Saccharomyces cerevisiae S288C: one gene and its partner. The protein of the gene in region 2 interacts with the protein of the main gene of each other region in a biochemical or structural test. Each region holds a gene or a part of one and is shown on either strand. Other genes may lie near its edges.

What was found.
Region 1: the proteins of SEC23 (region 2) and SAR1 form a complex in vitro, tested with the Saccharomyces cerevisiae proteins (6 studies listed by BioGRID, with this or other methods).

The regions. Positions count from the first base shown.
Region 1 is NC_001148.4:136,872-140,289, forward strand, and holds SAR1 (Arf family GTPase SAR1), read left to right. Parts: upstream 1-1,826; coding exon 1,827-1,854; intron 1,855-1,993; coding exon 1,994-2,538; downstream 2,539-3,418. Other genes in the region: PCL8 (Pcl8p), read left to right, coding at 1-1,357; GTPase BMS1, read right to left, coding at 2,749-3,418. UniProt on the Saccharomyces cerevisiae protein: Small GTPase component of the coat protein complex II (COPII) which promotes the formation of transport vesicles from the endoplasmic reticulum (ER).
Region 2 is NC_001148.4:896,861-903,551, forward strand, and holds SEC23 (GTPase-activating protein SEC23), read right to left. Parts: upstream 2,808-6,691; coding exon 501-2,807; downstream 1-500. Other genes in the region: E1 ubiquitin-activating protein AOS1, read left to right, coding at 1-144; mRNA splicing protein SMX3, read left to right, coding at 3,334-3,594; DPM1 (dolichyl-phosphate beta-D-mannosyltransferase), read left to right, coding at 3,895-4,698; GDB1 (bifunctional 4-alpha-glucanotransferase/amylo-alpha-1,6-glucosidase), read left to right, coding at 5,184-6,691. UniProt on the Saccharomyces cerevisiae protein: Component of the coat protein complex II (COPII) which promotes the formation of transport vesicles from the endoplasmic reticulum (ER).

The DNA of each region.
Region 1 (3,418 bases), 760 kb from region 2:
AGAAGACGTTTTTGACCTTCCACTTAAGGTAGGCGTTTCTCAAAGCAGGAACTTTTCAGAAGTAAATGACGTGTTAGACCCGCTTTCTAGTTTGCATGGTCCGTCCAAGAAGGTGAGATTTGAACAGCAAAAGCAGCAACAGCAACATCAGCAACTTCACAATGACTTCAATACAGATTTCAACCTGAAAAGCCCGTCCAGTAAAAAAATGGGGGTAGAACAGCTGATCCAGTCAGCCAATGAAATCAACGATTACCTCGCTAACAACATTGACAAGGTAAATAGCTTTAACTCAGAGCTATTGAGCGGCAGTGGCAAGTTACCTGGGAGAGTAAAGAGTGACACAGCAACTCAAGGTACCGGACGCTTAGATTCCATGTCCAACTTTGCTCTTAGCGATACGGAGTTGGACAATGATGACGATAATTATCTCCTGGATCCCCTTGCAAATGCTAGCTCTACTACACCCACTGTGGAACACCACGGTTACAGCTTATTAGACAAGGCTTTATCCACGTCTGATAAGGAAAAAATATATACGAATAAAGTGAATTCGAATAGTCAGATAGATACTGATAATCACTCTCACGAAAGTGGAAACACTACCAATAACGAAACAGATGAAAATGAGAGTTCGGAGATCCTGGACTACACAAAATTTGATTCTTTCCCCTATCCCCCGTCTTCTGCCCCCAATGGGGAACCACCAGATTTGAAAGTGCTAAGCATTGAATGTGAGCAGGAAAATGAAAAAGAGCTACGACGAATATCTTTATTATTGGATCATTACGAATCAATACCGAAAATACCAGAATTGTCAGACGATGAAGCACTATCTAAGTTCCGTGAGAATATCGAATTAATTTTACAACTATCTAAGAAAATTAACGATAATGCGAACACTTTAGCGATTTCCTCCGAAGATCCTCAAAAATTTGTTAATTTTGTGATGAAGAACCCACCTTCCTTATCATTCAGAGATTTTATCGACAGAATCCAGAATAAATGCATGTTTGGTGCCGTAGTCTATCTTGGAGCCACCTATCTACTTCAACTTGTGTTTCTTACGAGAGACGAAATGGACGGTCCCATAAAGTTGAAGGCTAAATTACAGGAGGACCAAGCCCATAGGATCATCATATCTACAATAAGAATTGCCACCAAGCTATTAGAAGACTTTGTCCACTCACAAAACTACATTTGCAAAGTCTTCGGTATTTCAAAAAGACTGCTGACCAAACTGGAAATTTCTTTCATGGCGAGTGTTAATTTCGATGGATTAATGATTACTTGTGAAAAATTAGAAAAAACATTGCATATCCTTGATGATACAAGACAGGCATTAGGAAACACATGAGTTTTGCATATGTATTATGCAGGTTCATTTGTTCCTTCCCTTATTTCTTTTCATAGTATTTATTTTTATTTATTTATTTATTTTTTTTTGGATTTTATTTTATTTCTTTTTTAATGCTAAGAAAGTAATTCCGCATAATTAAACGTGTGCTGGCCTCGATAGGTACCTATAGTATACAGAAGCTTACGAAAAGCTCCTGCAGGATGGCACTTCTAAAATTCGCGCTCAACATGGCCGTATTGTACATTATATCGTTCTATCATTATATCGTATACGCCCGCATTACCCGACAACTCCGTCTGCAACGCGTTGACCAGAAAACTCGAACAAGAGATCGCATAAAAAACCAAAAGGAAACGAATTACTTGTCAAATAGTTATTGTAATGGATCCTCTAGAAAGGCAAACAGTAGATTTATTTCCTTCTTTTCTAGAAACATCATTATAACTAACAATATATAATTGGAATAATGGCTGGTTGGGATATTTTTGGTTGGTGTATGTTATCACCCTGTTCACGTTTTTCGGATACTTAGTTTTATTCAATGTGGTAAACATTGAATGTTTTCAGCTTAAGATCTATTTTTTTTTTTCTAGAAGAAATTGCGTCCTTTACTAACTTTATTTTACTGTACAGTCAGAGATGTGTTGGCTTCCCTTGGTCTGTGGAACAAACATGGTAAACTACTTTTCTTGGGTTTGGATAATGCCGGTAAGACCACATTGCTACATATGTTAAAGAACGATAGATTGGCAACCTTACAACCAACATGGCATCCAACTTCTGAAGAACTGGCTATTGGTAACATTAAGTTTACAACTTTCGATTTGGGTGGTCATATTCAAGCTCGTCGTTTATGGAAGGATTATTTCCCAGAAGTTAATGGTATCGTCTTTTTAGTCGATGCTGCTGACCCTGAAAGATTTGATGAAGCACGTGTCGAATTAGATGCTTTATTCAACATTGCCGAATTGAAGGACGTTCCTTTTGTAATTCTTGGTAACAAGATCGATGCTCCAAACGCCGTTTCTGAAGCGGAGCTACGTTCTGCTTTAGGATTATTGAATACCACTGGCTCTCAAAGAATTGAAGGTCAAAGACCAGTTGAAGTTTTCATGTGTTCCGTTGTTATGAGAAATGGTTATTTAGAGGCGTTCCAATGGTTATCTCAATATATTTAATTGACGTATACATCTATACCCTTTATATGACATTCACATGAATTCAACAGCTTTGTAATAATCAACAAAATTGCATAGGATGCCACCTCATAACTTTTGAGCACAGCATTTCCGCGATCATAGTATATTTTAGACTCTAAGATTGAATAAAAGTATGATACATCTTAAGTATACATATATATATGTATATATATATATATACATGAAAGTTTACCTCCTCATCTTACGTGGACGAGATTCATCGTCACCGCCCATAGTTGTTCTTTTACCATTCTGGGCGAAGTATTCTTTCTTTTTCTCCTTATCCCTTTGTGATTTTTCTTCCTCCATCTTAGCTAATTTTTTCAATCTTTCCTTACGTTGACTAGCCTTCTGTTCCTTCCTCTTGCTGTCTTTGGCTTTCGAAATCGTCAATACTTTTTGAATGAATGATCTTGCCTTCTTTTCATCACCACCTAGCACCACGGCTCTTTTAGCCATATATGTTTTCTTCTTTTGTGGTTTCATTTGATGGATCTGAGATTTGAATGGCAATTCCTTTTGAACAGCTTTTGGGACCTTTAGACCATTGAAGTGTCTTTCTACACGTTCTATTTTATGATATGCACTGTCCGGATTCGACGGTGTTTCCAGGTTCATAGCCGCTCTTATTTGGCCTGTCAATCTTAAACCTTTCCACTCGGTTTTTTCCTTCAACAATAGTGAGGTAACAGGATTATAGAATTTCTTGACGCGGACAGGATACCATGATCTTAGAATTACAATATCACTCATTAGGATTTTATCCTCAAAGGCTGCCCTATAGTGACCCTCAGGCTTTGAAAGTGCCCTTTTGATTTCACCACGGATACCCGAGACAGTTTTGATCTGCGCACCCTCA
Region 2 (6,691 bases):
ATCGAGTTTGCTCCTGTCGCGGCCATTATAGGGGGTGCTGTAGCGCAGGATGTCATTAACATTCTAGGTAAAAGGCTATCTCCATTAAATAATTTCATTGTTTTTGATGGTATTACATTAGACATGCCACTTTTTGAGTTTTAGATATATACATACCTACTATACTGTAGTTTCAGCCAAAAAAAATAATAAAAAAAGCATAATTGGAGGCAGTAAAGCATTATAGTCATACACAATAATAATAATAATAATAATAATAATAATAATAATAATAGTAGTAGTAGTAATGGTAATAAAAAAGTTAGAAAAGAAATTAGATACAGATATTCGTAGTAAAGGCCACGCAGTACAAAAAAGACGGAGAATATATTATATAAAATCCTCTACTCTTTTCGTTCAGGTCCAAAGGAAAATTCTTGCACGCGCAATGGACTGAACAGGCCTTATATTATACAAAAAGCCTAATAACGATCAAATAAAACAAAAGAAAGCCGTTGCTCCTATGCCTGACCAGAGACGGCTACTTGTTGTAAGTGAGTCATGAAATTTTGTAAGGAAACATCATCTGTTAAGACAATTGTAGATCCTCCGCGCGCCATGTCTTGATAGTTATCGGAAGGATTCAATTTAGATAACAAGAATCTGGCTTGAGAACCACCGGCTTCAGTATCAATGAATCTTGGTAGCGGGAACCTATCTACTAACAATTCTGCGGCTTCTAATTTTGGCTCTTCAAGAAGAGCTTTGAAATCTGCGTACTGTGGATCGTCTTGGTAACCGGCTTTTCTCCATTGAGCGATTTGCTCACCGTGGTATATTAAGATGAAGAAAAATGTATCTAATAATAGAATGGTATTGGGTTTGACGGAGATAGAGTCTAATAATACCGGTTGTGGATCGTCCTCCATTGAGAAAGAAGTTAGAGTTGGTTGAATCATGATTAAAGAATTAGTCGTATCCTCTCTTGTGAAAATATGTCTATAAAATGCAGTTTCATCCGGAGAATTGTTAAAGACACTTAAGAATTGGGATCTTCTTAAATAATAGGTAAATTGAGGATACAGTGAGAAATTTGGAGCCAACCTGAAAGATTGAGGATCATCTTTATTATAGTCGGCGTACTTTTGACATAGCTTAATCAAAGTTCTGTCTAACCATCTAATAACATCTGCACCATCATCGGTTTCAGCCTTGTGAACAGCAATACGAGCCATCAAAACGGCAGCAGCTTCTTGATCGAAAGAAGCTGCAATGGCAGGAGTACCGAAGGGCAAAAGCTGGTTTGCGACCGTGGTGACTCTGATACGGTTGGTACCAGAGGAGTGTTGATAAGTAGTGATGAATTGAGTATATGCTAGATGAGGTCTATCTGCTGAACCAGGGGCAGACATCATTGGGTTAGAATTAGCCGCAGTGTTTGCAATTTCAAAGAAAATCGCATACGAGTGATAAGGCGATAAGGAAGCCATCTTCCAGGTGGACGTTGCACCTATACCGATTTCAGATTCACTGATGTTGTTAGCGTCTGTCTTCTTTACAGCAGAAGCATGCCCAATCAAACCTTGTACCTTCAAGTCTTTACTTGTCTTGACTGCCATATTACCATTGAAAGCCATCTTCAAATACCCTTCTTCATCCTTGGCAAACAATCTCAAGTATGATTGCTTAAAAATCGCGGTAGAGAAGGCATCGGTTAGCAACAACACACCTCCAGTAGAGTCGGTCAACTGTTTCATTTCAGACATACCGATTTGATCGTAACAACCGGCAAAAATATCAACAGTGTGTCCATTGGCGGCAACTCTTTGTGCAATCTGGTTGTAAAACTTACAGGCCTTCTTGTAATGTTGCGCGTGATCAGAATCGATGTCGTGGTGGGATCTTAAGGGATCTTTTAACTCTGAGTTAACAATCAAACCTGGGGCCACGGTGCCTGGACCGGAGGCGAAAAGAATGATTCTTGCTGGGATGTTCTTATAGCAGCCCTGTAAAAGCAAAGATGCAATGTTCAAAGCGGAACCTGTGGCCCTTAATGGCCTATGACCCGCTGGAACAGACCATTGGTCTGGAGACAGATTTTCCAGTAATTGATTCAGTTTGAACTCGACCTGTTCCAAGGGCAGGAAGAACCTATTCAAAGAGAAGGGCGTAACTTTGTTCATGGCGTTCGGTAGATGAGATGCAGCACCGCCGGGGCCGGTAGGCTTTTGGCCGGTCAACATTTCCGTCAACGCTTCGAGCTGGTACTCCCTGTCTCCTCTGAACACGTTGCACCTGTCAATAGTTTCGCTGGACAGATCGTGCAATTGAACAACGTTTCCGTAAGTGATCAACCCAATCAGCGCGTTGGGAGGTAATAGAGACAAAGAAGTGATGATAGACTCCTTTAGCGAATCGAGGTTCTCGGTTTCCGAAGTCAAATCCACAACAAAGAAGAAAATGGGAGGAACGGTAACGGGCTTATTGGTGATGTACTCAATGGTGGTGGACTGTAACTCTAGCGGCATATTCTCCTGTGACAAGTTGGTGTACTGTGGAGGTAAATGGTTCCTGGAGTTACAGATGGGACAACTCCAGGACGAATTGCGCGGATCAATCACACAGTAAGGATTTAGAATCGACTTACAGTGTGGACCGGAACACACAACTGGATTGTATGGGGCAACGTTCAATTCGTCATACTCCTTCAAAGGTGTGTACAAACAGCCCACAGGGACGACGTTGCTGTTAGCGTCGCTTCTAGTAGAGGGAAACACGTTCCAGGTGAAACGGACCCCGTTGATGTCTTCATTAGTCTCGAAGTCCATGGCTAGAAAAGAGGAAGGGGAGGCAGGCGACAGACAGATAAACACTGGCTTCAGTTAATTGTGTGTCTTGCTGAACGTGGAAAGATCACAACAAGTATCTTTTTTTCTTTTTTCAAACGTGTTTTTCTTTTATTCTTGCTAGAACTTTCCTCCTTTGTAACAAACGAGAGGCGGCGGGCTAGTCGTCGCAAGCGACAAATCTCAACTGACAGTAAATAACGGTGATAAAACAAAATTAGCGCAATCTCTCAAACTACTGAGGACAACCAACTTGAATTGCACTCTTCCAAGTTGTAGCATGGCTTGGGGGGTGTGTGATCCCATCCTGTATTATGGCAAAGCAGGCAAAACAACCGCTCTGCCGTCCGGGTAACTTTTCTTGTTCCACCTCTTTTCCCCAACATATATGAACATGAGATGGTAAGAGCAAGAAACAACGGTTCTATGAGCAACGCAAAAACAGCACAGCACACACAGCACCGCGTACTATACCACACCACACACTACGTCACAACACAACAAGACAATGAGCGAGAGCAGTGATATCAGCGCGATGCAGCCGGTGAACCCGAAGCCGTTCCTCAAAGGCCTGGTCAACCATCGTGTAGGCGTCAAGCTTAAGTTCAACAGCACCGAATATAGAGGTACGCTCGTGTCCACGGACAACTACTTTAACCTGCAGCTGAACGAAGCAGAAGAGTTTGTTGCGGGTGTCTCGCACGGCACCCTGGGCGAGATATTCATCCGCTGCAATAACGTGCTGTACATCAGGGAGCTGCCGAACTAAGACGACTGTGCTCATCTCCCTTACATACCAGTATATTTACATACGCCCTCTACTGTAATACAATATCATTCTATAGCACTCGCATCGCGTATTTTTTTTTTATTTTCTTGCTTTATATTGTTCTATTTTTCTTCCTTATTCCTGCCTCTGGATTTCCCTCGCATGACAAATAGCGTGGAAAAATAAAGGATTTCCAGTATTTGAAAAATTTTCAGTATTCTTACGTGTTCCTAACTCATATAGACCGCTATTGTAATAACGCTATCGCTTCAATTACACACAAACATACACGCACCCACAATGAGCATCGAATACTCTGTTATCGTTCCCGCTTACCATGAAAAGCTGAACATCAAACCCTTAACAACCAGATTGTTTGCCGGCATGAGCCCTGAAATGGCCAAGAAGACCGAGTTGATCTTTGTCGATGACAACTCACAGGATGGCTCCGTTGAGGAGGTGGACGCCCTAGCTCACCAAGGCTACAACGTCCGCATCATCGTCAGGACAAATGAACGTGGTCTATCCTCCGCCGTGCTTAAGGGTTTCTACGAGGCCAAGGGTCAGTACCTGGTATGCATGGACGCAGACCTACAACACCCTCCAGAGACCGTGCCCAAGTTGTTCGAGTCTTTGCACGATCACGCCTTTACTCTGGGCACCAGATATGCCCCAGGTGTCGGCATTGACAAGGACTGGCCTATGTACAGACGCGTCATTTCCTCCACTGCTAGAATGATGGCCAGACCTTTGACCATCGCCTCCGACCCCATGAGCGGGTTCTTCGGTCTACAAAAGAAGTACCTCGAAAACTGCAACCCTAGGGACATCAACTCGCAAGGTTTCAAGATTGCCCTCGAGCTTCTCGCCAAGCTTCCTCTTCCAAGAGACCCTAGAGTGGCGATCGGCGAAGTGCCATTCACTTTCGGCGTGAGAACGGAAGGTGAATCCAAACTGTCAGGTAAAGTCATTATCCAATACTTGCAACAACTTAAGGAGCTCTACGTCTTCAAGTTTGGCGCCAATAACCTTATCCTTTTCATTACTTTCTGGTCCATTCTGTTCTTCTACGTTTGCTACCAGCTATACCATTTGGTCTTTTAAAGGAAGTGAATGGTAACGAAAAAAAAAAATCTTTCTTTATATGTCTCTTTAAGTACTCCCTTTCAGTTATATGCCTTTTATTGTCTGTCCCTATTCTAATCCTCTACTCGGGCCATCATTGTTAACGTAATATTTGCCCTAGGGTAAAAACATTAGGTTGATTAGGCCATAACTCATTCTGCCCCACCCCCACACATAGGGTTCAGGAACTTGGTTTTCAACCCTACTGCATTGTTTCCCACGCGGCGCTACCAAAATATATCCAATTTTCTTTTTTGTCACAACAGCAGCAACCCCTTGAAATGGCCAATTCTTCTCGAGACTTTGCTCCCTTAATCTTTTCTTCCCCCCCGGTTTCTTGATGATTATATATACTAACCTCGTATATTACACACTGTACTTGAAGTCACTCATATCCGAATACTACTTCTCTTAACTTCCAGTCAACCCGACACCCACAATCGTCCTTAGTATATAACTGCTTTATGAATAGATCATTACTGCTACGTTTGTCGGATACCGGTGAACCCATTACAAGCTGCTCTTACGGAAAAGGTGTCTTGACGCTACCACCAATTCCGCTCCCTAAGGACGCCCCAAAGGACCAACCGCTCTATACGGTCAAGCTACTGGTATCTGCAGGTTCCCCTGTCGCTAGGGATGGGCTAGTTTGGACTAATTGCCCACCAGATCACAACACGCCCTTCAAGAGGGACAAATTTTACAAAAAAATCATTCATTCCAGCTTTCACGAGGATGACTGCATTGACCTGAATGTCTACGCTCCAGGCTCGTACTGCTTTTATCTATCTTTCAGGAACGATAACGAAAAACTTGAGACAACAAGGAAATACTACTTTGTTGCCTTGCCCATGCTTTATATAAACGATCAGTTCCTACCTTTGAATTCCATCGCTTTACAAAGTGTTGTATCGAAATGGCTGGGCTCTGACTGGGAGCCCATCCTATCGAAAATTGCCGCTAAAAACTACAATATGGTACATTTCACCCCTCTACAGGAAAGAGGCGAGTCTAACTCGCCTTACTCTATATACGACCAATTGCAGTTCGACCAGGAACACTTTAAGTCTCCTGAAGACGTGAAAAATTTAGTTGAGCATATACATCGCGATTTAAACATGCTTTCATTAACAGATATTGTTTTTAACCACACAGCTAATAATTCTCCTTGGTTAGTTGAGCACCCGGAGGCTGGGTATAACCACATCACTGCGCCACATCTAATCAGCGCCATAGAGCTCGACCAAGAATTGCTCAATTTTAGTAGGAATTTGAAATCCTGGGGCTATCCTACCGAACTGAAAAATATAGAAGATCTCTTCAAGATCATGGACGGTATTAAAGTGCATGTTTTAGGGTCGTTGAAACTGTGGGAATATTATGCGGTAAACGTGCAAACAGCTCTTCGGGATATCAAAGCCCATTGGAATGACGAATCTAACGAAAGTTACAGTTTTCCCGAGAATATTAAAGACATCTCGTCCGATTTCGTAAAACTAGCTTCCTTTGTGAAGGACAACGTCACTGAGCCTAACTTCGGCACTCTTGGTGAAAGAAACTCAAACAGGATTAACGTGCCAAAATTTATTCAACTACTGAAGCTCATTAACGATGGTGGTAGTGATGACAGTGAATCTTCGTTGGCCACGGCTCAAAACATCTTGAACGAGGTCAACTTACCCTTATATAGAGAATACGACGATGATGTCAGTGAGATACTCGAGCAACTGTTCAATCGTATCAAATATTTGAGATTAGATGACGGTGGGCCCAAGCAAGGTCCAGTGACCGTTGACGTGCCCTTAACAGAGCCTTATTTTACGAGGTTCAAAGGAAAAGATGGTACTGATTATGCCCTCGCCAACAATGGCTGGATATGGAATGGTAACCCACTAGTGGATTTTGCATCGCAGAATTCAAGAGCTTATTTACGTAGAGAAGTTATCGTGTGGGGGGACTGTGTCAAGTTAAG